Linked DNA regions of Rattus norvegicus. The protein of the gene in region 2 interacts with the protein of the main gene of each other region in a biochemical or structural test. Links are inferred from orthologs where the notes say so. Each region holds a gene or a part of one and is shown on either strand. Other genes may lie near its edges.

Evidence for each region.
Region 1: the proteins of Snca (region 2) and Sncaip form a complex in vitro, tested with the Homo sapiens proteins (3 studies listed by BioGRID and IntAct, with this or other methods). The link is inferred for Rattus norvegicus from reciprocal best matches to the Homo sapiens genes SNCA and SNCAIP.
Region 3: the proteins of Snca (region 2) and Gba1 form a complex in vitro, tested with the Homo sapiens proteins (2 studies listed by BioGRID). The link is inferred for Rattus norvegicus from reciprocal best matches to the Homo sapiens genes SNCA and GBA1.
Region 4: the proteins of Snca (region 2) and Siah1 form a complex in vitro, tested with the Homo sapiens proteins (3 studies listed by BioGRID, with this or other methods). The link is inferred for Rattus norvegicus from reciprocal best matches to the Homo sapiens genes SNCA and SIAH1.
Region 5: the proteins of Snca (region 2) and Cryab form a complex in vitro, tested with the Homo sapiens proteins (4 studies listed by BioGRID, with this or other methods). The link is inferred for Rattus norvegicus from reciprocal best matches to the Homo sapiens genes SNCA and CRYAB.
Region 6: the proteins of Snca (region 2) and Ensa form a complex in vitro, tested with the Homo sapiens proteins (2 studies listed by BioGRID, with this or other methods). The link is inferred for Rattus norvegicus from reciprocal best matches to the Homo sapiens genes SNCA and ENSA.
Region 7: of the proteins of Snca (region 2) and Fyn, one has a biochemical effect on the other in vitro, tested with the Homo sapiens proteins (3 studies listed by BioGRID). The link is inferred for Rattus norvegicus from reciprocal best matches to the Homo sapiens genes SNCA and FYN.

Annotation. Positions count from the first base shown.
Region 1 is NC_086036.1:48,530,912-48,534,485, reverse strand, and holds part of Sncaip (synphilin-1), read right to left. Parts: intron 2,412-3,574; coding exon 2,319-2,411; intron 1,829-2,318; coding exon 775-1,828; intron 1-774. UniProt on the Homo sapiens protein: Isoform 2 inhibits the ubiquitin ligase activity of SIAH1 and inhibits proteasomal degradation of target proteins. Isoform 2 inhibits autoubiquitination and proteasomal degradation of SIAH1, and thereby increases cellular levels of SIAH.
Region 2 is NC_086022.1:91,123,468-91,127,699, forward strand, and holds the start of Snca (alpha-synuclein), read right to left. Parts: upstream 2,849-4,232; 5' UTR 2,711-2,848; intron 1,594-2,710; 5' UTR 1,568-1,593; coding exon 1,447-1,567; intron 1-1,446. UniProt on the Homo sapiens protein: Neuronal protein that plays several roles in synaptic activity such as regulation of synaptic vesicle trafficking and subsequent neurotransmitter release.
Region 3 is NC_086020.1:176,905,854-176,910,057, reverse strand, and holds the start of Gba1 (lysosomal acid glucosylceramidase precursor), read right to left. Parts: upstream 2,857-4,204; 5' UTR 2,728-2,856; intron 2,366-2,727; 5' UTR 2,351-2,365; coding exon 2,296-2,350; intron 1,921-2,295; coding exon 1,729-1,920; intron 1,641-1,728; coding exon 1,494-1,640; intron 1,405-1,493; exon of another isoform or gene 1,330-1,404; intron 444-1,329; coding exon 310-443; intron 100-309; coding exon 1-99. UniProt on the Homo sapiens protein: Glucosylceramidase that catalyzes, within the lysosomal compartment, the hydrolysis of glucosylceramides/GlcCers (such as beta-D-glucosyl-(1<->1')-N-acylsphing-4-enine) into free ceramides (such as N-acylsphing-4-enine) and glucose.
Region 4 is NC_086037.1:36,572,607-36,576,180, reverse strand, and holds the end of Siah1 (E3 ubiquitin-protein ligase SIAH1), read right to left. Parts: intron 2,320-3,574; 5' UTR 2,318-2,319; coding exon 1,469-2,317; 3' UTR 408-1,468; downstream 1-407. UniProt on the Homo sapiens protein: E3 ubiquitin-protein ligase that mediates ubiquitination and subsequent proteasomal degradation of target proteins.
Region 5 is NC_086026.1:59,990,134-59,994,373, reverse strand, and holds the start of Cryab (alpha-crystallin B chain), read right to left. Parts: upstream 2,844-4,240; 5' UTR 2,515-2,843; coding exon 2,314-2,514; intron 1,287-2,313; coding exon 1,164-1,286; intron 1-1,163. Other genes in the region: Hspb2 (heat shock protein beta-2), read left to right, coding at 3,568-3,661, 4,085-4,240. UniProt on the Homo sapiens protein: May contribute to the transparency and refractive index of the lens. Has chaperone-like activity, preventing aggregation of various proteins under a wide range of stress conditions.
Region 6 is NC_086020.1:185,873,023-185,877,331, reverse strand, and holds the start of Ensa (alpha-endosulfine), read right to left. Parts: upstream 2,833-4,309; 5' UTR 2,693-2,832; coding exon 2,636-2,692; intron 1,030-2,635; coding exon 904-1,029; intron 1-903. UniProt on the Homo sapiens protein: Protein phosphatase inhibitor that specifically inhibits protein phosphatase 2A (PP2A) during mitosis.
Region 7 is NC_086038.1:44,321,385-44,325,482, reverse strand, and holds the start of Fyn (tyrosine-protein kinase Fyn), read right to left. Parts: upstream 2,820-4,098; 5' UTR 2,743-2,819; coding exon of another isoform or gene 2,710-2,742; intron 2,531-2,709; exon of another isoform or gene 1-2,530. UniProt on the Homo sapiens protein: Non-receptor tyrosine-protein kinase that plays a role in many biological processes including regulation of cell growth and survival, cell adhesion, integrin-mediated signaling, cytoskeletal remodeling, cell motility, immune response and axon guidance.

The DNA.
Region 1 (3,574 bases), on a different chromosome or scaffold from region 2:
CAACAAGGAGTAGAAGATGAGCTTCCGACGCTCTACTGGGTGGTTTAGTAAATGGGAGAGTGAATGATCCAAGGCATTCCTTCCACAGAGAGATTTGCACTTTGGCTGCTACACTGTTTTTGATGGCATGTCAAGCGCAGAGCATGCAGAAATCGCTGCCTAAAACGATGTTCCTATCTCTTATTCTTAGAGGCGGGTTTCCAAGAAGTGCCGCTATAAATGACTTCACAATGCATTCTGCCTTCTCCTGTCCACTGGCAAGCCCTTCAGTCTCTCCAGTATCTAGTCAACACTTAGAGATGTGTGTGCTAACAGGCTATGTGGCAGTCCCTGGGGGATATTCATTTCAAAGGTTATTTGAGTTAGGTCGTTTAGAAGAAATGGGGTTTCTGTTTATATGCTTTTAAAGTGGGCTTTTGTACCCAGTCCACAAGGAGAACAGACTCTTCCCGAGACAGAATCAGTGCCAATGGCGGACTGATTTAATGCTGACGGGTGGTTTCATCTTGTATAAATGCCTCTTGGCTTACAACTTGTAATGCCCAAAGCACAAGAAACTGGGGTCAGACCTAATCTGCGATTTCTTTACTCACTTCTCTCTGTATTCTCCAAAGGAAGTGCAGGGGCATTCATCTTAAACTGGCATGTGTCATTAAAATATATATGAATTTTTGAATCTTGGGGTGACCTTCCTCCAAGATGGCACAGTCAGTAACAATAACACAATCAATTAAAAGTAATACAAGCATAAATACATCTCCAAACAGCACTCACTGCCTTATTCTTTCCTTTGCTAGCAGGGCTCACAGGGTTTCCCTTGGCATCTGCTGTCTTCCTTCCAAGTGACGTCAAGGGTAGTGTGCAGGTCTTCAGCTGGCTGGCTGGCTGGTAGTTATTATTGTTGTTCTGATTACCACTTAAACTCTCCATGATGGATCGGAAGGTTCCAAAAGGCCTTTTCATTTGTTCTCCTGACTCACTAGTCCTCTGGGGGGCCCTGCCCCTCTCTTTGTCTTTTTCTCCATTTAGTTCAAGGCTAGTTTGCTCCATTTGCACAACAGGCTCCTCAAAGGTCACTCTCAGTTTTGAGTTTTGGGATGTCCGGCGCTTGGATGATGGAGACTTGAGGGCACTCTTGGGGCTTGTAGCAACTTTCTGGGCAGTGGCACTGTCAGGACTGCACTGAGTGGCTTCTGTAGAAGGTTGGGTTGGAGGAGTCATTCCCAGGCTCGGGCAATGGGAGTCCAAATCTGGTTCACTGCTCTCTGAAGTGGGAGATGGGCTGTGCCCATCCAGGGATTTGGAGGCCTTCATACCAAAAGGAAACCTGCGTCCTGATGCCACAGAGTGTTTCTTTATCATCAGGTGTAAGCTTTCTGCACTGTCCATATTCTCCACACTTTCCACAATGGGCTGTGGTCTAGGTCTGTCCACTCTTTTCACAGGAGTATTTTTGGGGTCCTCAGAGTTGTTTGAATCCGTGTCAGATTCACTCAAAGATCTCTGCATCAGCTGCCGCAGTCTAGCTAGCTTCAGTTCCCTCTTCTCTAGAGGTATTTTTTTCGAATTCCTAGAGGATACCTGAGCATCCTGGAATTCCAATGACAGCTTTTCCTGGGTGCAGACATTCTCTGATATTTCTTTCCCCAATAACTGACGTAGGATTTTATCAGAGTCTTCGTCTTTTCCTTTGGTCCTAGCCCTGCTGGATAAGTTTCCAAGGACTTGTATTCCCTCCTGGGTTCCCAGTTTGCTTTTGCCTGTAGACTCGTCATCTGCATCTAGAATTTTCCACTGGGACTTTCTAGAAGCTGGTGAGGAGGGTGAACTGGAAGGAAGATAAAGAAAATATAAGATGGTTTCTTACTGCACTAGATGCATCCATAAGACCTTGCACGACCTTTCATACAATTATTGATTTATGGAAAACAAGATTAGATTACATAATGTTTTCTTCTGAACAATTAACAAAGACTCCAATCTATCAGCTGTAGCCAGAGCATGACAGAATTGGTCTGTTTTATTTTCTACGAACCACGTTTGTATGAATTTCATTACTTCAATCTAATCACCCTATACATCCTTGTTCTCATTTCACAGGTCAATACAAGTGGCACAAAGAAACAGAAACTCTGGGCTGGAAACTGCCTCAGGTCCTATGATCCCAGACACAGACATTTCATTGTGATATCTTTTATGTTTGTAGGAATAAAGTATTTTCTTGAAAAGTGTTAAATGGAATAAACAGAATGCTAGAAGAACATTTAAAGATTTCATCACATACCCAACAATTCAAATAGCAATATGACTGGGGTTACCTGGGTGAAGATGGGAGGGACTTGCCCTCTGATTTCTGGGCTTCCAGAAGTTGTTGGAGTTGACTCTGCAGTGTGACGCGCTCCACTGTCTGCCTGTAGGAGACAACCAAGGAACACAGTGTGTGAGGCATGGCCGCTGGCAGACTAGAGGGAGAAGACTCTTCATGAAAACTCAGCAAATGGCATCCACTCAGAAGCCTTAAAAACGTTTAGTCTTCATCCTCATGGTTCAGTTTCCCAAGGAAGCAATCGAGTGTTGAAAAGGATGGTTATTGTTCACATTCGTGACAAACCATGAAGAAATTAATAGCTCATCAATACGAGTGAAGGAATTTCAATCATTTCTGCAATGGCAACTATTAAAGCACTGTTATTTGAATACTTATGGGCATATAAAAACTTGGCTAATAATTGTGTGTATATTATACTTTACTAGTCTTAAATGAAAAAGGAATACTATAAATACTATGTGTAATACATTCTAATGTGCGTGCGTGTGTGTGTGTGTGCGTGTGTGCATGTGTGTGTGTGTTCGTGTGTGTGTGTGTGTGTGTGTGTGTGTGTTCGTGTGCGTGTTTGTGTATATGTGTATGAATGTGCATATGGAGACCAGGACTTGCTGTTGCCATGTTTTACTCAATCACTCTTCATCTGAGTTTTTGAGACAGGTTTCTCACTGAACTGGGGCTCATGGTTCAGCTAGAGTGGCTGGCTAGCAGGCCTTAGGGCACCTCCTTGTCTCTGTCAATAATACCAGGATGATGGGTGCAAGCAGCTATGTCAGCTACTATTCTAAGAAAAGTTTCTCTCCCTTCCATCACCAGAACAAAGATTCAGAAGGATTTCAACATGTTGCTAATGATTTCTGAACTATTGTAGTTCTTTGTTTCTGAGGCACTGTCTCTCTGTGTAGCCCTAGATAGCTCACTATGTAGACCAGGCTGACCTACTGAGTTCTGCCTGTCTGCCTCCTTCTCGCTGGGATTAAAGGCAGGCACTTTGCTTAGAAATTTGAAAAGTGTTTGCAACAGTTTACTAATCATAAAATATAATTAAACACGACACAAAATAACTACTTTTACTTTGGGTAACAGAGTTTTGTACTCTCTTATGAAAAGGAAAATTTATGTGCAGTAAGAGTCCATTTCCTCTGGACATAAGAGTATGTGTAACAGAATGTGCTTGGAAGTTAAGAAAATAGGGTGAAAGTCACAGCTATAGGAAGAAAAATATATATTTAGAAAATATATATTAAT
Region 2 (4,232 bases):
GTCCCCAAAATCTACAAATTCCTGCTTTTATATTTTAAATTCTATCTAAAACATTATTCTTCAGATTCATTTTTAAAAGAATACTCTAAAATTAGCTCAATGACACCTTTCTCTTACAATATTCATTTCCAGACTTTCTGAAAGGTTGTTTTAAGTAGAAAAAGAGAGAATTTACTCAATGTGAAATTATTCTATGAAGAATGGGACAAGGTGATCTGCTAGAAACACCAATGAGAAAGATACATTCATGAAAATGTCTGCAAATGTCAATTCCACACTGATCTTCTGGAGGGTCAGGATGACTTCCCTCAATTGGTACTCTGGGTAGCATCTCTGTCACTTTTGTCACCTGTCCTGCACCTTTTCAGTCTGAATGTTTATCCTAGGTCTTCTACCAAGGTAGATGTACTCCTAAGAAGGTGGAAACAGGTGCTCAAAAAAGGAAAGAGAGGTCAATGAACCCTGCAACTGTGCTCCCATGTGCACGGGGCCTCTGCTGCACATGAGGGTGTATGCATGTGTGTCTGTTCCTCCCATCCTAGTATTGGAAGGGATTTGTAAAGTTAGAGCCAATCTAACACAGAGAAAAGATAAAGGAAGTGTTGGCCTCTCTTTCAAGGTATACTGTCAGGCAAAATGGCACTATCAACCTCTTACTGTTCCCCGTATGCATGATCTCGGACAGGTGAACTGCACAAATCTTTTTGGGGTTCCTTGAGCTCCTGCATCCACACCAACGAAGTGATCCCTAAAGGGAGACATGCTGAGGCAGACTTGCTTTCCTTTTCTTTTGGGGGCCAAAGTATTTGTATTTTCACTACATGCAAAATCATGCAAAAGTCTTGTTTTAAACATTGTAATTCGCTAAACTTAATATTAACTATAGTGATGATGAAAGAAATCAAAGTCCCAGAGTACTTGCAGCTTGTTTTTTTTAAGTTGTTTGTTTGTTTTTGTTGTTTGGGTTTTGTTGTTGTTGTTGTTGTTGTTGTTGTTGTTGTTGTTGTTCTGGAGTCTCACATAGCCCAGACTGACATCAAACACACTGGTAGCTGACAGATGATCACCAACTCCTGATCTTTGGGCCTGCACTTCCCAAACCCTGGCATCACAGATATGTGCCACCAAGCTTGCTGCCATAAATGTCTTTGATTCATAAGCACATTCTTGGTTGTTTTTCATGGGTTGACAATTTTAAAAATTCAGTGTAATCATGCACAAGATTGTAGAAAAACAAATAAAAACCCTACATAAATGACAAAATTAATTATTCTAAGGAAAGAAAGCACTGTCCCTGTTTGTTTCTGAGAGTTAATATGCAGGTTCGGTTCGCGTTCTCTCACCTCCCCATAGCTGTCACTCTGTCAGCTGAGAAGCTGTGATGCGCACGAATCAGACAGCACACAGCAGTCACCCTGATTCATTAGTCACAGTGTCACTACCTACCTACATAGAGGACGCCCTCTTTTGTCTTCCCAGCTGCCTCTGCCACACCCTGCTTGGTTTTCTCAGCAGCAGCCACAACTCCCTCCTTGGCCTTTGAAAGTCCTTTCATGAACACATCCATGGCTAAAGATGTATCTTTGCTCCACACTAGAGAATACAGAATACATTTTGAATTAGAAATTTTGGGGTAAAAGAAAGCAAGGTTTAAAACAGCTAGAGAAAGAAATGAAATTGAGGCGAAAGAAATCACAAAAAAAAAAAAAAAGTATATGCCTCCCACCCCTCCTGCCTCATCCTGGTGTGAGATTTTTTTTTTTTTTTTGAGGACTGGGCACAGTGTTGATTGATTGTGAGCAGTTCACTCAACACTAGTAAAAAGTCATGCCACTTAAGAATGTGATGGATCCAGATGGATCACTTGGCTGTTCTCACACATTTCAGGAGTTACTGAAGAGGAGACGGACTTCCTCTACCCCATCAAGTTCCCATGGCCCAAAGGAGACATTCGAAGTAAAAAGACTATCTGGAAAAAGAACTGAAGGGTGAGGGAGCAGAGGTGGAATAGGGGCAAGAGGGAAAAAAGACGTAGAGAGGAGTCGTCAATCTTTGGAGAAGGAAGGGAGGGGAACTGTTTAATCCAGAAGTAGGGAACTGGAGACCAACTGCCTTCAGCCCAGTCTTTCTAACCTAGCAAGACCTTCCACCCACCACTAGCTAGTTGCTGGCTATCTGCCCAGAGCAGGCGCTGGCTGTCCATGCACTTGAGCATTATCACTTGAGCACCACCCAACCATGAAGCTCTGTCCTCAGCTGGAATCCTCTAGAAGACCCTGCACCCTGTGCTCATTAACCCCTTATCACCTGTTGCCTACTGTCCTCTGCACTTCTATTAATCACTGGCCAAATGCACCCTTCTTCCGCTATAGAAGGAAGATGAAATGCCCTGGGGCTGGAGTATAAAAGTTGGATGCTCAAATTCCACCCAATGCCCAGCACTCAGCTTCCAGCATCCAGCATCCAACATGAAACACCCTAGCGTTTCCGCTTGAAAAAAGCAGATGCCACAGGCAACCTGGCCTTTCCCTCGGGCTTTGAGAGGATGGCAGGGCACGTCTCCAACGGAAGGAAAACCGAGTGATGTACTTTCCAGTCACTGACTCTGTCCCCACGGCCAAGGTAGCCATAGTCTGTCTCCTCTAGGCGTCCAGGTTGTTAGCTAGGGCTCTCCAAGATCCCCAGAGCTACTGCATCTACAGGTACTTACCGGCTCTCTAGGCTTCCGCAGAACTCTGATTCCTCCTGTTTTCCCCAATCTAATTTCAATGCAAGAGGGGTGAAAGGCTCTGGGCTGAGGGGCAAGGGCAGGGGGAGCACCTGCTGGTCTCCTGCCGTCTGCTGCCGGGCGCTCTGGCTCCCTGGCTCCTTCACGTCGCCCCCGCAGCTGATTTGTCAGCTCCTCTCCCCGCCCCTCGCCTGCCTCGTGCCTTCGCTCGTTTTCCTAGGGAGGGGACGGGATGGCGGTGCGTGAGGGCTGTGGGTACCGGGAGCACGCTCCCCAGGAGGAGGGAAGAGAGGGTAGCCTGAGTTTCACCTCGAGTTCAGGGGGCCTTCGGTTTTATCGTGGCTGAACTTGAGCTGGCCTCTTTCCTATCTCATCCCCTTCTTCCCTGCCTCAGCCTGTTCTCGGTTCCTCTAGGCGACCCCCCTCCTCCGGACGAGCCGGGAAGCGGACACCAGAGGACTGAACCGCCTGAAATGATCTGTGTGCGGAGCCAGGCGAGGGGAGGGAGCACACACCCTTCGGGTTGCTTTTGTTCACACAGCCTGAGAATTCCATTTGTTTTAACCCCGAAGGAGTCTAAAAAGGTTCTTCTGGGTGTGAAGGGGAGCCGACTAAGGAAGAGTTACAGGTCGAGGAGGCAGGGGGAGGCTCAGCAAATCCTCTTTCCCACTCCACTATCACCATTTTCGTTTCCACCAATCAGCGGCTGCCAGACGCTGATTTTTTTTTCCCCCATCTGTGGAGCAAGGAATAAATAAACCCCAACCGTCGAAAACCAGCTGCCTAAAGGCTTTTTTGCACTTGAAAAAGTGGCTTACTATTGAGAACCCTGTTACAGGATTGGAAGGTAGCTCCTGTGGGATTCACCCTCTGGGACCATCGCAGGCAGTTTCTTCCTACTTAATGGCAGACTTTGCACACCTCTTACCTTTCCGACTTCTGGCTGCATGGAGTTCCAGCTAACAGACCTTTCTTCCAAGCCCAGCAGACAGGCAGATGGATGCACAGGCTTCGAGACAATTTCTGTGCTACTTAACACATTTTCATTTCTTTCTGAGATGAGCAGAATATCGCTGTTTGATAGCTGAGTAGATTTGAGTGCCAAGCTCCTCCCCCAGCCTTGCTTTTCTTGTATTCTGGACTTGTACTGGGCACTGTAAGCTAAACCAAGCTTTTACTGTATTTAAAAAAAAAGTAGAAGGGAAAATGTTTTCTCTGACCTTTGCAGTCAGTTGATTTCTGAATCCTGAAAAGTAAATAAATAAACAAATAAAAAGTTGAAATCTTAAAAAGCATTTTGAAATAAGGGGCAAGCAATTGTTTTTGACATGCTGTATGGGAAGGAGGTAGATAAAACCACAAATGCAAAGTAGAAATAATGTGGCAGAAATTCATTGCTTAAGCACTGCCTTCCATTCTTGCTGTTCCTTTTAAAAATCAACCTTTCTACACAGTAGTGGCACATACCATGTTTACTTGAAATTAGAGGAAGAAAGTGGCACAC
Region 3 (4,204 bases), on a different chromosome or scaffold from region 2:
TGCTCCATTGGTCTTGAGCCAAGTGGGTGATGTCCAGGGACTGGCAAAGAGTGAAATGGGGCGTGGGGACATCTTCAGGGCTCGGTGAATCAGGGGTATCTGGAGACAAACAGTCAAGAGAGAGACACCCAGAGCTGGAACACATACTAGTTCAACCAGTGTATCAGGTCCAACCATCAGCCCCCACCCTCTTACCCCCAAGTCAGATAGGCTGTAGAAGGTTCCACATTGCTCTAGACAGCTCTAACCTGGACCTTCCCAGCCCCAAGACAGCAATACCAACAGGGCTGAAGCAACTGGAATGCCCACCTTGAGCTTGGTGTCTTCCTCCGGGAGGCTGAAGTTGGATAACTGGAAGTCATTAGGGGTGTCAGCATAGGTGTAGATGCGGATGGAGAAGTCACAACTGGCCATGGGTACCCGGATGATGTTATACTCAATGCCTGCAGGAAAGGATGGCCCAGATAGGGAGGTCTGAATCAATAGGAGAGTATGAAGCGAGCGTGGTGGCACCACGCCTGGAATCCCATCCCTCCAGAGGCTGAGGCAGCCGGATCAATGTGAGCAAGCCAACCGGGGCTACAAGGCAAGGCCCTGTCTCATAATAAATAAAATAAAATAAAATAAGGCGAGTATGAAAACTGGCTTGAATCAGTTGTCCTCCACAGAGTCTCATTCAGAGCCAGGGTCTAGGTGTGGAATTGTGGAGAATCAGTGGCACTGAGTCAGGTACACTTGGTGGCATCTGCTTGTAATCCCAGCCCTTAGAAAACTAAGAGTCCAAGGCTAGTCATGGCTACACAGTATTCGAGGGAAGCCTGATCTACAGAAAGTAAGGGAGGAAGGGGACAAAGAGAAAGAGGGGAAAACAGAGGCAGGCTGGGGATGTAGTTCAGGGGGCTGAATGCTTGCCAGGGGTGCATGAAGCCTGAGTCTGCGCTCCAACACTGTATAAAACAGGGGAACTCCAGCATTCGGGAAACGTGACGCCGGAGGGTCAGAAGTTCAAAGTCTGATATCACTGACTGCAGTAGATTTGAGTCTTGAATACATGAGACTCACTCAAAGAGGGACTGAGAGGAGAGGGGAGAAGAAAAGGAAGGGAGGCAAATGTCAGGGGGAAATATGGAAGCGAGAGCAAAAAGCCTGGCAAGACAGCTCAGTGGGTAGGGTAAGAGTTTTTCCTGCCAAGCCTGCAAGACCTGAATCATGATCCAAATGGTGGAAGGAGACAGAGGACACCTGCAAATTGTCCTCTGACCTCCTCACTCATGCACAGCACATACAACAGATAATAAAATGTAATTTAAAAAAAAAAAAAACTGAGGGGTTGGGGATTTAGCTCAGTGGTAGAGCGCTTGCCTAACAAGCACAAGGCCCTGGGTTCGATCCCCAGCTCCGAAAAAAAGAAAAAAAAAAAAAAACTGAAATAAAGCCAGGCTATAAAGAAGGGCATACATTACAGTGTGCCATCCTGCTCCGCCCTTTCTCACCTTCGCTAGAGAAGTAGGACTTGAGTAGCAGTTTCTGAGCCGGGGGGGACAAGGCAAGGATGTTGAGCGCAGTGGCATCTGTCATGGCACCTCCAAATCCTTTCACTTTCTGGAACTTCTCTTCTGGCTGCAAGGTTAGTAGGAGCCCTGGAAGAAGAAGGGGGAAATCAGTCCAGATCACTATCACTACTGTGACTTTGGGGTCCAGGTTTGGAGGGGCAGATAAAGGGGCTACCTGTGCCAGTGCGGTTGGCCTGGATGGACCCGGTACTCAGCTCCATCCGACGTCCGCTTCGAGTACTCTCATAACGGCTGAAGGTACCCAGAGCCGGTAAGGTCAGGGGGTCAAGAGAGTCACAGTACGTTGCATTGCAGACACAGACCACTGAGCTGTAGCCAAAACTTTTGGGGATGCAGGGTTGGGCACCTAGAAAGCAGGGCACAAGCACAGGCAAGCATCAAAGTAGGTTTATGGGGGACTGAGCATGCTAGTTAAGGAGTCTGAACAACAATTAAAAAAAAAAAAAATAAGGGGACGGGGATTTAGCTCAGTGGTAGAGCGCTTGCCTAGCAAGCACAAGGCCCTGGGTTTGGTCCCCAGCTCCGAAAAAATAAAAATAAAAAAATAAAAATAAATAAAAATAAATAAATCCTTCCCCTGTACTCCTTGTGCCCAAAGATGTCTCAGGCACTCTAAGGGCCTTACAGAGTCCCTACTGAAAGTCCACCATCATAGTGAAAGGCCCCAGAGGACTATGGGGAAGGAAACACCGTCATGCCTCCATCCCCATCCTCGACTCACCATATGCCCAAGATATGGCCTGAAATAGGAAGAGTCCTATGAACCTGGCAGCCATGACACCAGGACGCTTCTGAGAAGGAAATGAGGAAATGAATGTAAGACTCTCTATCCTGCGACCACTCTCCTGGCCAGAGTTTAGCCGCCTGTGGATGTTTACAGCATGGGCTCCCACCTTTATTAGTGACCAGACAATGTCCTTAGACACTGGAGGGGTCTTGCTTTTACTCGGTTGCCCACTCCAAAGAGGGCTCTCTTCACTCTTTCCCCCACATCCATTTCAGCCTTCAGTCCTCCCTCCACCCGTGCTTTACTCCAAGAGCATGATGCCCTGAATTAAAAAAATAAAATCTGAACTCACTGAATTCCCTAATCTGGATGGGCAGAATTCCAGAAGCAAGACTGACCAGGCAAATTGTAGCCCTGCTTCCTTACCTCTGGAAGATCTTGAGAACTTGAGCTCCTCAGGATCAGTGGATAAGAAGATTGTAGCAGTTTCAGAGTCTTGGAGAGTTAGAAGATCTACCAAATAAAACAAGTATATTGACAGATACCATATCTATTGGAGCCGGACTAGCACAGCAATTCCGGCTTAAAGGGGAGGACAGAGTCACGTGATGACTAAACCAGTCACGTGATGCTGGAAGTGAGGCAATCGAAGCCATATTTGTGATGGGCAGCTGGATCCGTCCAGGCTGTTCATTCATTGTATACCCTGTGAGGTTTTGGGAGGCTTAAAGGATGACAGCTTTAGGAAGAGAATTCTAACAAGGATTTTATGAACAGCTGAGTAGAGGCTCCTAAATCCAAGACAGAGAGGATTTCTAGCCTCTAAGGGACACTGTATTCACATGCACATACCGTCACACAGATATAATTTAAAAATAAAAACAAAATTTAAAAGACCCCACATACAGCCTGGCAGTGGTGGCACATGCCTTTAAATTTGGCACTTGGGAGGAGGAGGCAGGGGGATCCCTTCGAGTTCAAGGCCAGCCTGGTCTACAGAGCAATTTCCAGGACAACCAGGGTTATTACACAGATAAACCCTATCATGAAAAACGACAAACCCTCACATATACACAATCTTTGCTCTAAAGAGACTAGTGAGACACATGAGTCAGATACTTACAGAGTTACAGATGAAGACAGACAGAAATGTTGACAGGTGCACTCACAGGACTCCTTGAGAGGAAAAAGGACCCTTCTCAGACAGCTGGTGGCAGCAGTTCCAATGAACTGCAGGGAGCTGCTGTCTGTCTCGCTCTGGATAGCAGGCCTGAGGGAGGAGTAGTCAGTCCTCACTGGCCCTTTCTACATTCCTTTGTGTCATCATCGGATGCTGGCTAGAAAGCTACTCATCTTTCCTGACAAGAAACTGGAGGGTTGGGAATTTAGCTCAGTGGTAGAGCACTTGCCTAGCAAGCACAGGTCCCTGGGTTCGTTCCTCAGCTTCCGGAGGGGGGAAAAAAAAGAAACTGGAAAATGCTGTCTATCTTTGGTGGACACAAAAAGAGAGCTGTCCTTGAGGTTTCTTTGTAAATCACATCAAATAAGATTTATTAGCAGTGACACATACCATATGATCTGACTAATTCCAGGTTTCTAAGCCTGTTTCCACACTTGCCCAACACAGACACTAGCACAACCTCACAGAGGCATTACTAGAGTTAGCAAGATAAGCCAAGTGAAGCATGTAATTAGAATCAGGAGCGTTATGCTTGTTGAATGAGGCTTTTATAATCACGACACTGAAGTCTTTATCACATAACCTTCAAAAAGTTGATTACTGCTCTGGCAGTATTGAAGCATAGTTTCTACGAGATGCATTGATTTGAATCCTGGCAACTCACAACGGTGTACTGTTTGTTTATCATGTTAAGACTCAGTAAATCAATTCCTCTAAGCCTGC
Region 4 (3,574 bases), on a different chromosome or scaffold from region 2:
ACTGGTGCCTAGAAACTTGAAAATCAGACTGCAGAGTCAGTACCACACCACTGGAGCTAGGAAAGGATAAAATAACTCACCTTTTTTCACAAAGGAAAAGAATAATCAGCATTAATTAGTCATATTCCCAATGTCCTAATGGAATGAAAGTGGGAGGGAGAGCTGTCCAGTCTTTTCTGTGATTTAAAATAAAACATACTTCAAACAGTGGCATACAATCCTCTGCTCTAAAATACAGACCGGAACAGGAAACTACCTTTGGAGTTTATCCATCTTAGGGCCACAGGGTGAGGGTGTAGCTCAGGGTAGAGCATCTGCCAAGTGCTAGGCCCTACATTCAGTCCTCAGCTCCAGGGAAACAAAAAACAAAAACAAAAACCTAGAGCTAAAGTAAACACATTAAAATGTTTTTTAATTTGCCAGATAATCTTTTAATGAGAATTATAAAAGACCAAAAACATTTTTTTGCAAACTGCCTTTTTTTAAAAACAAATGATTTACTTTAATTACAAATACTGTGTATGATGATGCACTCTTTTGCAAAACCAATAAATACAAGAACCAATTTAAACATGTGATTTGCCCAAGACATTTGAAGAGAGGAAAAGCCTGATTATTTTATAATTTATAGTGATCAGAGTTTACTCCCTAAGCTAACCTTTCAGAGAGTAAGCCTGACCTGACGGCGTAGGACAGCAGTCGGGAGGCGAGACCATCCTGTACTTGCTTCAGCCTCGACGAGCTGCTCTGCTCCCTTTCCTTTCTGGAATTCCTATTTCCACAGAAGGGCTGAATTAAAAATGTCTAATAAATTGATTGAAGGAAAAGAAAGTATGTACTGAACACAAACTTCTGACATTAAGCAATTATGGATATCAAAAAGACGCTAACTTAAAAGGTACAAAAGTGAGAAAAACCTGAATTACAGAAAAGAAAGTCAAATTTATTTAATGAAAAACTAGAATAAAAATTAGCAAATACACACACACCAAAAAACAAAACAAAAAACAAAACAAAAAACAACCCCACAGCAGCACTGTGTGTTGACTCACAAGGGGAAAGCGGTGGCCCATGACCACGCAGATGGCTTGTCAGTTAAAGGAAAACCAACCACACACGTGCACGCATGCGTGCACAGACACACACCCCCAAAAAATTGTCAACAATACAATCAATCTACAACAAACACAAAGTTCAGAAATATTTTACAATGTTTCCTTTCTTAATACAAAAGATGCCCATCTTGGGTATATATATTTTTCAGTGGTTTACTGTTGAATTATTTTTAAATATATTAGTGTTACTACATGCAACTGTTTCCTGTATTAACAGCTTTTCTTTTTATTTACCTTCATGTCTAGCTTCTACCTACCAGGAGAGGTTTAGGTTGGCAAGCAGATGGGTGCCTTATTCTCTGTGAAGTCAAATGCAAATTTTAAACACTGGCCAGAAATATTTGATTGCCGTTTCAACACATGGAAATAGTTACATTGATGCCTAAATTGCCATTTTCTGCAAAGAGCTGTGCAATGCTGGTGTCAAACACTAGGCAGTCACTATTCATGATGGCTGTTGCAATTCCCTCATGAATAGACCGAGGGGTGGCTTCCCAAGTCAATCGCCGCCTATGACCATTCAGCTCAAGTCGATATGCAAAATTTTCAGCTTGCTTGCGTGTTCCTATCAGCTGTACAATCGCAAAGAACTGCTGATGGCCATCGTATTTTTCTTGTTTCTCCAAGACTAACATGAAATGAAAGCCAAAACAAGACTGCATCATCACCCAGTCAACAGCACCAGGAAGGTTAATGTCTGTAGCAAGGAAAACTATATCTTCTCCTTGCAGGGTGGTAATGGACTTGTGCTGATGCATCAGGTGGGGCATGACAGCATCCAAGGAGCCTTGCCACTTACAGGAAGCACCAGGGCAGGGGCAGGAGTAAGGCCTGAACTCACAGAGCTCCTCGTGCTCTGCCTTTTCGGTGTGCGGCAGAGTTATCTCACATCCAGAAGAGGCATATTTACAAGGGAAGAGTACGGAGTTGGCCACTTTCTCCATAGCCAAGTTGCGAATGGATCCCAACGGGCCCCGGCAGGTGGGACAACATGTAAGTTTGGGGCGACAGTTGCTACAAACAAGATGGCCACTCTGACACTGAAGAATAGGTGGCAATACATAGTCAAAGCAGACAGGACACTCGAAAAGACTCGCCAAGTCATTGTTGGATGCAGTTGTGCCAGTCAAGGCAGGTACCCTCTGGGATGGTGGACACTTTGAGGTGCCGGTGGGTAATGCTGTAGCAGTCTGACGGCTCATCTCTGTAAAGGAAAACAAGAAAATAAAAGGAAGCAGGGGGAAAGTTACAAATATAACACATTAGTAGATATGTATGTATACATGTCATAAATACTTGTAAAGCATACCACAAAATTTATCGTGAATAAAAGAATAAAATTAAGTAAATATAGTTTTAAATCCATATACAAATAAAATAAAAATTGAACGCTAAAGGTTAATTTTCTGGAGTTATATAATGAGTAAACTGTATTTCCAAAATGTTCTCCAGCATGTTTAAAATACTTTTTTGTTCTTAAAGCAGTGGAAATCTCTGGGTGGACTACACAGAATAAGAATCGCACCAGGCATTGTGGCCACACCTTTAACCCTTGCACTGCAGACACACATACAGGTGGGGATCAGGGAGTTCGAGGTCAGCCTGGTCTGCATACATAGTTTCAGGCCAAGCAGGACTACATATGAAGACCTAATTTCAAAAAAGTTCCTAAACAATAAAGAACTACAAAACTGTCTTTGTCTTAAGAACTTAAATACAGCTGGGCAAGATGGCACAAGCCTTTAACTCCCAACATTTAGGAGGCAGAAGAAAAGGAAAGAAGGAAGAAGAAAAAAAAGGAAGGAGGAAGGAGGAGGAGGAAAGGATGAGGAAGAGGAGGAAGAGGAGGAAGAGGAGGGGAAGAGGAGGAATATAAATTAAATACAGGGCTGGAGACTGGAGAGATGGCCTAGCAGTTAAAAACACTGGTTGGTCTTCCGGAGGACCAGTGTTCAAATCCCACCACCCAAATGGCTGCTCATTAGAGGCAGCCAGGGCACTCAAACATATTATGAGCAGATAGACATGCAGGCAAAGCACCCATTCACATAAAATAAAAACAAATCTTTTTTAAAAGAAGAAAACCTTAAATTACAATATAAACTTTATTTGGGCTGGACTTTTTTCCCGAGTCTCCACCTCCATCTATTTTTTCTCAAGTCTGAGTTTGCTCATAGCTTCAGGACCTACTGCTTTAGTCCTATGAAGTTCATATGCCAAAGACCATTAGAGCCGGGTCAACTCTTCCCAGCATGAACAGCATCATCACTAGAACTGTGCTCTGGGAATGGGCTCAGAGGTCACAGGGGAAGGAAACCCTGCCATCCTGTTATCTGCCTGCAGACGTCTACTCAGTCTTTTATTAAGGCAGCCAGGTATCACTTCTGTCTCCCATCAGTCAGTGCGTTCATCTGAAGACTGAAGGAATATAAGAAGTGGAGAAAACCACAGAAGATCAA
Region 5 (4,240 bases), on a different chromosome or scaffold from region 2:
CCACCACGGCACAGCTGAGTTATTTTTTGTTAAGATTTTTTTAATTTTATGTATGAGCACTCTATCTGCATGTACACCTGCATGCCAGAAGAGGGCATTGGATCCCATTACAGATGGTTGTGAGCCACCATGTGGTTGCTGGGAATTGTATGCAGGACCTCTGGAAGAGCGGTCAGTGCTTTTAACTGCTGAGCCATCTCTCCAGGCCCTAAGTCATTAATTTTTTTTTCTTTTCTTTTTTTCGGAGCTGGGGACTGAACCCAGGGCCTTGCGCTTGCTAGGCAAACGCTCTACCGCTGAGCTAAATCCCCAACCCCAAGTCATTAATTTTTTTTTTTTTGGTTCTTTTTTTTCGGAGCTGGGGACCGAACCCAGGACCTTGCGCTTCCTAGGTAAGCGCTCTACCACTGAGCTAAATCCCCAGCCCCCCAAGTCATTAATTTTTAAGAAGCAATCATAACACCTTTTTAGGAAGTCAAGAAAAAAAAATGCTAAAAATGCAAGAGGAATTGTGGATGCTAATCCTGTTACCTATTGAATCCCAAGTACCCCAAGCATCCACACAAACAAATCTCAATTAACTTCCTCACAGCCATAAGCCTGAAGCTCTGAAAAGCAGACAAACCAAGTAGCATAGCATTAAACTGAGCAGAAGAGGCATGGAATCCTGAACATTCAAAAGCCACAGATTTTATTGCCTTCGACTCCGTGGTGACTGTCATTTCGCAGAGCCATTATGTACAGCACACTGTGCCTAGAGCAATGGCTGCCAGTTTGGGGTACAGAAAGTACCCAAGGAGTGAGTTTGTTTGTTTGTTTGTTTAAAGGTTGATGCCTGAGCTATGTCCCTAAAACTTCAGATTCAATTGGCCTAGGATGTGCTGAGGGTTGGGAATGTTGAGAATTCTTCTGCTATTCTGACGTCACTGGACAAGACAAGGCAATCAAAAGGAACATCCAGGGGAAAGTTCTCTCAGCACAGCCACAACACTAACAGCAGATCTAGCCCTAACTTGTTTCCCAGCCATTGATCTATAACTCCTGATCTAGTCTTATGTTTGGGGACTGGAATTCTGCCAGCCTCAGAGGCTGGTGGCGGCAGTCCCTGGCATCCAGCAGGGCACTAAATGAATTCACAAGAGAAGGCAGAAAGGTCCACACACCTGGCGCTCTTCGTGCTTGCCGTGCACCTCAATCACGTCTCCCAGAACCTTGACTTTGAGTTCCTCTGGAGAGAAGTGCTTCACGTCCAGGTTCACAGAGAACCTGTCCTTCTCCATACGCATCTAGAATAACAAGGGGGCGGAGGAGAAAAGATGGTAGAATGTCCATTAAGCTGGAGAAGGCTCATCGTCCAGGAGATTTACTTCCTGCCCTGGTAATCCATCCTCTACCTGGCTGCTGGGGGAAAAATCCTCTTATGACTAGTGACACTGGTATATGTGAGCCACCATGGTGATACCCAAAAGACACCTCTTAGTCATCCATCAGTCCCAAACTTTACCGAGAGGCACAGGGAAGAAGACGGGTCAGTAGGAGACTAGTCACAAGAATGGGTCTGGGGATGGCATCTGCTGCCTCTCTACCCAGTGCTGGCTTTGTCATTTGTCTATAAAACAAAAGCCCCCTTTTTCTTGTTCAGTTGCCTGCCAAGTTTCCAACCCACTCGATCTGGAATGTTCTGTCCTTCCAAAGCCCTTGCTCACTCAGCTCCTGTTTCCTCACACGCGAATATTTTTAAACCACAGTGTTATCTGTGACAACCTCTGTTAATCTTATCTCCCACGCTGCTGAGATAAGAAGTCAGGGCTTCCCAAGAGCGGTCCTCTTAAGGCATGGACTGAAGTCAATGCACTGTCTCAGCCCCGAGGAACCCGGAAAGTCATAGGCCAAGGAAGAGAGAGAGAGAGAGAGAGAGAGAGAGAGAGAGAGAGAGAGAGAGAATATTGATTGATGTATCCAGCTCCATCAAAAGGAAGTGGGGAGGAAAGAAGACAGGAAAAGCCCAGAATGAGTGGGTTTCTATCTGATCTCTACAGTTTGAGATGATAAAATCTGCCAGGACTGGGACTATTAAAGAGGTGGGTAAAGGAGTTGAAAGAGGAGAAAGAGGCACCATGCACAGAAAAATGGACCAGGAAACAGGAGCATCAAACAGAAACAGGTGCCCACAGGAAGAAGAAAACAGTAACCTCATTTCTCTGTACCTTTGCACACGCACATGCCTAAAATGACTTAGGCAGGGTGAAAGGGCAAAGGAATGGAGAGACCAGGAAGGATACGTATTCCTGCCCTGGCACAAGGGAGACTTACCTCTGAGAGCCCAGTGTCAATCCAGCTAGGTGCCCGCAGGAAGGAGGGTGGCCGAAGGTAGAAGGGGCTCAGGGAAGTGGCTGTAGAGAAGAGGTCAGACTCCAACAGGTGCTCTCCGAAGAACTGGTCAAAGAGGCGGCTTGGGGAGTGGAAAGGAAAGAAGGGACGCCGGATCCAGGGGTGGTGGATGGCTATGTCCATGATGGCTAGATGAGTGTAGAGTCGGTTAGCCGGTCAACTCCTTCAGCCGCTGCTACAGCCTGCCCCTTATATATGCAGTCTTGTGAAGCTTCTGGAACGGTGATGTCAGGGGTTTTATTATCCCAGCTCCCCGACAGTTCATGGGGACTTGTGATCAGGGATTTGGCAGGGTGACACATACCCAGTACTCACTGAGCTAAGAAAAGAGAAACACGGGGCAGGGCTGAGCTGGCCGGTGACTTGTCACGGTCTTGTTTCACTAGCTCTCTGTCCACACCTAGTGGCACCCACCCACCCCATCCTTGTTCTCTGGAGCCAGGACAGGGTCTGGAATCCCAAGCAGCTGCTGGTGGGCCCCTCCTCCTCTCCAGTCTTGCATGCCAGGGGAATTGAGCCAGCAACTATCTTGGGCCTGGGCAGAGGCTGGAATCTTCCTGGGCTGAGCCCCAGGGACATTAACTCTTTGTGGAGTCCCAGAGGAGAGCTGTGACCACCAATATGTCAGAACTAGGTGTCTGACTGGAACCCCGAGTTGATCTAGGTTCAGAAGACCCTGACATTAAAAAGACAGAAAATGTTTCTTGTATTTTTGACGTTCTGTGGCTCATAGAACATTGTCTTTTTTTTTTTTTTTTTCTAAGTAATGTGCTCAGTGCCTGAGACTGATAAGGACAAAGGGTGATGTGGAATGTACAATTGGTGAAGGGCCCAACCAGGCCTCTCCTTGCCCTCCTGCAGCGCACCAGTTTCTCTTCCCAGCTTACTCTAGGACCAGGACCCTCAGCTGTTCTTCCAGGCCTATGCGACAGCTGAAGGGTATACAGAGGAGGGGACTTAGGGGGTCCAGGCTGCGCTGATCACACCCTCATAGCTGCACTCTAGACTTAGGCTCCCACCCCTCCCCCATCCCCCAGACGCTCTGCACTATTTTGGGTGGTGTAGACCCCGCCCCCACTCTGACTGAGTCCTGGCTCTCCCTCTGAAGCTGGAGGGGTCGCCTTGATCTTGTTGGGGCTACACTTGGGATCAGGGCTACTAGTCGCAACAGCAGTCATGTCGGGCCGCACAGTGCCACACGCCCACCCAGCCACTGCCGAGTACGAATTTGCCAACCCTAGCCGCCTGGGCGAGCAGCGCTTCGGAGAAGGTATGGCTCAGATGCTTCCTACCCCCACCTCCGGAAATTCTGGGCTCACTGCCCAGCTTCACTGGCCTCCACTCTACCTGGGGCTTAAGTGAACTCCTGAGGTGAGCCATCTCCCACCCCAGACTCCCCCCTCAAGCAAGACTCTCTCTGGTCTTGCTAACAGACTTCAGGACCAAACTTTAGATCGGCAGGGCTTTCGGTGTCCGGGCCTTGCACGCTTCAGAGTATTTTCTGGTTTTGCTTCTGTCCTCCAGTTCCAGCTCGCTTTTTCCGTAACCATCTCCTCTCCTTTCCCAGCCCCTCTACAGTTTCCCACCTGCTCTTCTAGCCCATATCTCCAGATATCGCCTTTCAGCCCTGTCTGTGCCCGCTGCATTCTTCCTCATCCTGCCTCTTGCCTTCTCTTTCTTTCTCTGCTCCCAGGCCTCCTGCCAGAAGAGATCCTGACCCCCACCCTCTACCATGGCTACTATGTTCGGCCCCGGGCCGCCAGAGCTGGGGAGGGCGGCAGGGCAGGGGCCTCAGAGCTCAGGCTCAGTGAAGGCAAGTTCCAGGCATTTCTGGATGTGAGCCACTTTA
Region 6 (4,309 bases), on a different chromosome or scaffold from region 2:
AACCCAGGCTAGACAAGGGCTTTCCCATGGAGTCATATCCTCTATCATTCTGTACAGGGAAAAGAATTGTCTCTGTGTTACCTTTTTTATTTATTTATTTTTTTTTGAAAGTGTCTCAAAAAGTCCTGGAACTTACTCTGTATACCAGGCTGGCCTTAATCTCAGAGATCTAACTGCCACTGCTTCCCCAGTGCTGGTATTAAAAGCATGTACTTTTACAATTAAAAAAAAAAAAAAATCATGTCTGTATGTGTCCATGGAGGCCAGAGGTTCTCCTGGAGCTGAGGTTCCAGCTGCCTGATGTGGGTGCTGGGAACCAGACACTGCCTTTCTGGCAGACAGCAGCCCAATTCTCTTAACTGCTGATCCACCTCTCTAGCCCTAGCCTACGCTATTCTAAAACTTAGGCTGCTCTTGGATTTGTGGTGATCTTTCTGCTTCAGCTTAGGTGCTTAGGTCACAGACACGAGCCAGCACACCCAGCTAAAACAAATTTCTTTCCTCCTAGGAGTATAGCTAATGTGTGATGCTAGTTTTTTTTTTTTTTTTTTTTTTCCCTTTTCTTTTTTTTCAGAGCTGGGGAGTGATGCTAGTTTTAATAGTCTAAAGAACCCTACTGCGCCAGTTTAAGAATTTTGGGTCTTCTGTCTCTAATATCCTCCCTTCAGTCCCTATCTGCTACCTACCCAAATGCCCAACATTAAGCCTTCATTTTCTATAGTATAGGGAAGTAGTAACATCATTGCAGAGATTCACAATAATGTGAAAAACACAATAATGTTTTTCTCTTTTCAAGTTTCTAGCTCATCTTTACTACTGCTATTAACCAAACCTACAGAAAAACATGCAGTAGAACCTCTACAGACTTCATCCAAGGTGCCACAGTATAAGGGCGTCCCATACCCCTTTCTGGAGTCTCTTCATGAGGAAGTCGGAGCCTCCAGGCTTTTGTCCTAGGCTTGGATATTTGGCCTTTAGCTTTGCTTCCTCAGCTTTCTCAGGAAGAATACCTTCTTTCTCCTGTGTATCCTGAAGAAAACAAGCCAAGTGAAATTAATGGCTGAAAACCAATGACTTCTAATATCTGGCTACCTTTATATTATCAAAATTTTCCTGGAGGTCTACCTCTTTGTAAATATGCTATCTACACTCTGTTCTGTCTAGTGTGTGTATTATTGAAGGGTTTACTTTATGTGCATGTATTCTGCAGGCATGTATGACTGTGTACCACATGGATGCCTGGTGCCCTTGGGTTGAGAAGAGGGCATTAGGTCTCCTAGAGCAGAATTGTAAATGGTTGTGAGCTACCATGTGCTGGGAACTGAATCCAGGTGTTTTGCAAGAGCAATGAGTGCTCTTAACCACGGAGCCATCTTTTTTGCTCATCCACTCTTAAAAGTTAGACCTTTGCTCAAAGATTTGCCCAAGATAACTGTATCAAGTAAAGAAAAACAAGCTAGTTCTTATATTAAGCCAAGGAATCACCCCAGTGACCTGTGAGGATTAGGGTAAAGGTAGTATCTAAACATGATACTTGAATCATAGAGCAAGCCATAACTCACTCAGTATTGCTAGGAGGAAAGATAAAAAAAGGACCTGGGAGAGTTCCTGGCTGTCGTACAGGTAAGAGGAGCTTAATCTTCTGAGAGGCTCCCTCCTCATTCACACTCTAAGAAGCAATCTGGTCTCGCTGTGGACTCTAGCTCGGCATGTAGCCTATTCTAAAGATATCTACCTGAGTAATATACTTTCATAAATGCAGGCAGGCAAGAGGTAAACAGAAATCAACATGCCATTAGTTTTTCTTGTTTTGGTGTTTTTAAAAAATTTTCTGAGACAGGTTCTTTGTGTAGACCAGGCTGGTCTTGAACTCAAGAGATCCACCTGCCTCTGTCGACCGAGTGCTGGCGTTAAAGGCATGCGCCACCATCTCCTGGCTAGTGTATTTTCATTTGAAAAACAGGTTCAGAGAGAACACAAAGTGTATTTAATGAGTCCTTGAGCTCAGTGTTAAGTAACTCAAATATGATGTTGAAGAAGGGGTTTGGCACTAGTGTTTTCATAATGCAATGGTGAGTGGACTACATCCCACTGAAGAGAAATTCGAGGGGATCTATAAGTCACCGACGGTGAACAACAAATCATCCCTATCAAATAGGTCTGAGGAAGTTGCCACCTGAACCTACCTCGCGGTAATAATTATCCTTCCCCCGCCCCCATGCTGGTTCATTTTAAATGTCTTCACCTTGACCTTTATCTTGCTGTGGATGAAGGATGAGCTCCGGTCTGGTGGTTATCTCTACTAATCAAACATCTCATTTACAGCTCAGGACCACCAGCCAGCCCCCTTTCATTCGCCTCATCTTTCCAAACACCCGCCCACGCCAGAGCTCGGCCAATTATAGAACAGCTTCCATGAACTGAATAGAGGTCTATTGGCCAATAAGACTGGGGATCCCACAGATTGACAATCGGCTTGACTAATCGACATTAGGGCACTAGGCCGCGCCGAAATGTAGCCTGCGCGACATTAGTAGTGGCCAACCCCTGTGGAGCCCGAGGCAGAGGCGGCCAATCAGCGGCGGCCGGGGCGTATTCCGCCCGCGCGGCCGCCCCCGTTCCCCCTTCTCCTCACCTGCTTCTCCTCGCCGGTTTCCTCCGCAGGGTTTTCTTCTTCTTGTTTCTGGGACATGGCAGGACCAGGACTGTGCAGTGAAGGGCCCGGGAAGTCAGCCGGAAAAGGGAAGGGGGAGGGGAAACGGAGACAACCTGAGCTGCTGCTCCGGCTACTGTCACTATGGTTGCTCAGTCAAAATGGCGGCTCAAGCCCGTGACGTTGAGACCGCCCCCTCCTATGGGAGCCAATGAGAGTGTGCTTGACGGGACAATGACGTAACGACACACCAATAAGCGTTGACTGGAGGTGGAAGGACTCTTCACAAGCGACAGGCAAGCTAGAACACCAACCGGGAAAGAGAGTGAGCCTTAAGACCCAATTAAGAGCCTTCATGGACCTTAGGGGCAGGACAGCTACTTTGGTATTCTGGCTTCTTGGGCGGGCCGAAGCTGCTTTCAGTTACTTCGTCAGGTCCTGGTCCAGTTGCTGGACGTTGTTGCACCAGAGCTGGGTTAACATAAAAATCCTTTTTTCTCTGGTGCAAAGGATCAATCCTTGAGCGGTGTTAGAAGGAAGTTACCCAAGACCAGAAATAAAAATTGGAAGACAAACTGATATTCAGCGGTTTTCCAGGACTGAGTGCTAGCTTGTATGAGACTTGAGTTTGTTTGTTTGTTTGTTTGTTTGTTTTTTAAGATTTATTATATAAGTACACGGTAGCTGTCTTCAGACACACCAGAAGAGGGCATCAGCTCTCAGTACAGATTGTTGTAGCCACCATGTGGTTGTTGAGATAGTTCTTGAGCATCTATCAAAGTAGATAGTACTGTATTACTTTTATAGGAATACATACATAAGGCACCCTCTGATTTTCAAAGCTTTTTAATTCTCAGATTAAATTGTTGTCATCTCCTCCTCCTCCCCCTCCCCTTTTTGTTTTTTTCTGTGTAACAGTTCTGGCTGTTCTGGAACTTACTTTGTAGACCAGGCTGGCCTCAAAATCATGGAGATCTGCCTGCCTCTGCCTTCCAACTGCTGGGATTCAAGTCTTCTTAAGAGTGTTAATGAGTATTACATATTTATATTCTGAATAATTAGTCTAACAGCTGGGCATCAACCTACACCTTGAGAGGCATAGGCAGCAAGGTCACAAATTCAAGGCTGTCTTTGCCTACATAGAATTCAATGCTAGACCCTGTTGCAAAGCAGAAAAAGAATAAAGGATAATGGCTACAGGCACTATCTCCATAGTAACAACCCACTACTCTCTTGTGGCATATTAAACAAAATACAACAAAGTCTAATAACAGCACTGCCCATGACATTTTCATTTTTTGAGAATGAGTCTCCCTGTATAGTCCTTTGCTGGCCTATAACTCACTATGTAGAAAGGGCTGGCTTTGAACCCCTAGGGATCCACCTGCCTCTCTGCCTCTGCCTCAAAGTGCCAGCATTAAAGGCACAGGCAACAGCAATTTTTGGTAACTTCTTGTGACAGGATCGGGGACTTCTTGATCATTTCTCATAGCATTAGGTGCACTTCTCATGGGACAATCTGAGAACACTGGAACACAGATTATTACTATAAAAGGCAGTATCTGGTAACCATAGATATGGAAATGTTTATAAAGCTCTAGGAAAATTTAAAAGACCCATTCACAACACAGGGTCAAAAGGAAAAAGTGGTTCTGA
Region 7 (4,098 bases), on a different chromosome or scaffold from region 2:
AGCCCCCTTCTGAGCAGAAACACACGTATGTGGTGCTATCACAGGGGCACAGACGAATCTCTTGTGTTTTTGTACCATGATACATTCTCAGGCCTACTATAGCTACTAACATGAGTCTTCTTAAAAGACGCTGGGTACGTACGTACGTATGTATCGTTGATCTGATTCATATTTGTCGCTCATTAAATGAAGCCACCAAGTAATACCAACCAGAGTAAAACCCAATGAAAATGAGACAAGCCAGATTAGGTTCTCGACCCAGTGGCAGAAATGGACAATAAACAAAAACAGACTCTGACGATGGTGTTGGGAGACAAATTTGGAGACATGGTGGCTTGGCTGGAGCAGAGAAGCCGGTGAAGGTTTCAGAATAGAGACAACATTTGTGCTGGGCCTGGGCTTCAGAACATCAGAAGAGGTGGGGACTCCAGACCGTCAGAAAATAGAGGGCATTTGCTCACACTCATTTAACCTTATTAATAAGTGCCTCTGACTTGGTCAGTACAGTGTGAGTTTATTGTGTATTGACTTTCCTTTCTGGGTTTGGCATCCCAACAAACCAGCCTTTGTTTCCAGAGAGCATTCATTATTAACCCTTCTGCTGTATGTATGGTGTGTGTGTGTGTGTGTGTGTGTGTGTGTGTGTGTGTATGTGTGTATATGTGTGTACATGTATGTATGTGTGTATATGTGTATCTGTGTGTGTATATATATGTGTGTATATGTGTATATGTGTGTATATGTGTGTACATGTATGTATGTGTATATATGTGTATCTGTGTATGTATATGTGTGTGCATGTATGTATGTGTATGTATGTATATGTGTGTACATGTATGTATGTATGTTCCACAATGGATGTCAGCTTAATTCATCACAACTCTTTTCAGATAAAACAGCTAAAAAGTAAACTTGGGACAGTTCCGTTACTTTGAACACTTGAGGCCCCACAACATGATCCAGGAATCAGCAGACTACACCAAAGTTTCTGACACACTATGTCTGAGATTTACATGAATATCTCTACCTTAAGAGGAACATCATGGGTTCTGAATCCAGTCATCTACACCCCCGGCTCATAGTCAGCTAGCCCCAAAGCTTGAGAGTTGAAACCACTTCCTCCCAAGTCTGAGGGCATGGTACTCGTGGGGCAGGGGCAGGGGCAGGGAGACTGAGCACAAAGGGTGAAAACTACTGTAAGCTGCTTTGGTGCTGAGAGGATGTGGGCATCCAAAGTCACCCTTGAACCAGACAAGTGGTGCCTCCAGGGTCTTCCGAACGCCAGCCCAAGTGCGTTCATGCCACAGCCCCGGTCACTTAAATAAAAGAGCATAGCTGGACACCACAGCACATTTCAAAAGACTTCATTCAGCAAAGCGGCCTTGGACTTTAGAGAATCCAGTCAGGCTGCCTCACTCTTGGTGAACTGATTCTGACTCAGACACAAAATTCTTCTGATCCCCCCACCCATTGATTTATCCTGTCTCAGGTATCAGTACCTATCCCCCAAGAAGAAAGGGGAGGAAAACGAGGGATGGAAGGAGGGTTCCTTGAAAGTATAGCAACTCCTAAAACAGCTGAAATAATTCCTCCCTTAAATAGGGGAAACTGCAGTTGCCACTCAATGCCACCACCCTGGGAATACAGCAAAATAAGTGCACCTGCCACCCGGGATCGGGAGCCTTCGTTTTTTGGTGAGTGTGGCAGAAAGGACTAGAGATCAACTGCTTCATCAGAAAGAAAGGGAAGCCCCAGGGATGAGACAAGAAGCATGGTGGTGCCTTGGGGACTTTATGTGTCTCTTTTCTATGAACTGAAAGGGCTCTTTGTGTCACACACACACACACACACACACACACACACACACACAGAGAGAGAGAGAGAGAGAGAGAGAGAGAGAGAGAGAGAGAGAGAGTCTGATTTATTAGAGGAAGGAGGGGCAAAATGGGTGATTTTATTATCCCTCCTCCCAGTGAGTCCCAGCCAATGCCTCCTGGGCCCAAGCTTGGTGGCCTCTTTCTAGCCCAGTCCCTGTGGCCTCAGAGATAAGAGAGCCTAGAGGAGACCAAACAAAACCATCTACCGACCTAGGGAAGTAGGGAGGAAATCCAGCGAGTCCAGAAGGGAGGAGGAATAAGCTTGAAAGCCGAAGGGGTGGGGGACAGAGGAAGAAAAGGCAAGGCCAGACACAGGGGAAAGGGGAAGGGTGGGTGGGTGGCAGCACAGGAAGGGTGAAGGGGAGGGTGGGGGAAGTGCAAGGGAGGTTCCAGAAATAGGCAGAAGGATGCGCTGGGGAAGGCAAGGGCCGCCGAGGGAGGAGGCCGGGAGGTGGAGGAGTGGGGCAGGGGTTGGGTGGGGAGGAAAGCAGCACCGGGCATCAATTATTAAGTGATTACATCATCCCTGACATTAAAACAACACACACAGCCCGGGTCCCCGCGGGGGGCTGCGAAAGGAGGGCGGAGGCGGAGCTGGGCCAACCTCGCCCCCAAGCCAATTCTTATTTTTTTCACCCGGCGCCTGCCGGCGGCCGAGGAATGGCACCCCGGTGCCCGCGCAGCCTCCGGGCGGCACCCCGCATCAGTGTCCTGCGTCGCGGGGCGCCCTGGAGGCTGCGCGGCGGGACCGCAGCGGGGGCAGCCCGTGCGGGGGCGCTGGGCCGGGCGTCTCCGCAGCATCCCGAGGCTCCGCGCATCCCCGGTCGCTTACCTGCGTGGCGTGGCGCTCGGTTCCGGAGCACATTCACATGGTCCTCTCCCCGCCCTCCTCCGGCGAGGCCCTGGCGGCTCCGGTGGCTCCGCGGCCGGGCCCAGGAGCTCGTGGGCCTCGCGAAGCGCCGAGGGGGCGGCGCCGGTGTCCCCGGCCCGGCAGCCCAGTCCCTCCCTGGCGCGGGCGGCGGCTTTGTGTGCGCCCGGGGAGTCCTCGGAGCGCTCCGGCTAGAGGCGGCCTCGCTGCGCTCTTGATCAGCGGGCGGGTCTCGGAGGCTCGGCGCACAGCGACCCCTCCTCCTCTCCGCGGAGCCCCCTCCCCGCCGGCTGCGCTCCTGACAGATGGCGCAACTGCACCGACGCGCCGCCGCCGCGGCTTCTCGCAGCTACTCTCGCTGATGCTCGGGCTGCTCCGGATCCCGAGGGGTTCGAGAGGGGGCGGGACACGCCCCGAGACTGTCAGTTCCTTCTGCCCTATCAAAGGGTCCGCTGAGGGCTGAGCGCAGTCAGCCATTGGTGCGCGCGTCGGAGGCGGGACGGCCATGGGTGGGGCCGCCGAGTGGGTTGAGCGTTACTGTGGTGGCGGGCAGCCTGGCGTGCGCAGGGCCACAGGGTGTGCGAGAGGATGCGAGGTTGAGGAGGAGAAGGAGGAGGTGTGTGTCTGAGGATCCTGTGGAGTTGCGAGTTGGTGGGGTGGACAGGAGAGAGCGCAGGGAACGAGCTGCTTTCCTACTTTGCTAGTGGAGACTGGCACCTGCCACTCGAGCCTCACAGCCATGGGAACCTATTTCTCCAAAGAAATAGGAGTGGGAGGATAAAGTGGAAAGGTGTTAAGAAGGGCGATGGCAAATTGGAGAAGTGAGGAGCAAAGTAGAGAAGTACCAGTGCAGAAACTGGGAAAGCTCGAACCAACAAATGCGCAACGAATAATAAGAAGAAGAAATTCATAATTTGCTAGTCTCATTTTCTTGAGCACCCAAATATGTTCATGTTCACACACACACATCAGGAAACGTGAGAGGAAGTATGACTAAAATTCAAGGGGCCTGCAACAAAGAACCTCCAAACCACACAGTAGAGATGCTTGGGCGCTTTCCTAGCTCTTTAGAGTAGCCATTGCCTGTCTGGCTTCTCGATGCATTCAAACTTCTCTTGGTTTTCTTGTTTTCATTGGTGGCTGGGCTGAGCTTTTTACTCAGATTTTCCTTGATGAAATAATAACTGGGTTGGTATGCAGTCGGTCTTTATTTCCGATTCAGCTTTTCTATGGCAGGATGTAACTTCATAAAAAGAAACACTTCGCCTTCCTGATTTTCTTTATAGGTAATTCCTGTTTCCTGAAAGCTCTGTTTTAAGACACGTTCAGAATCATTTTCTTTAATGATTTTGG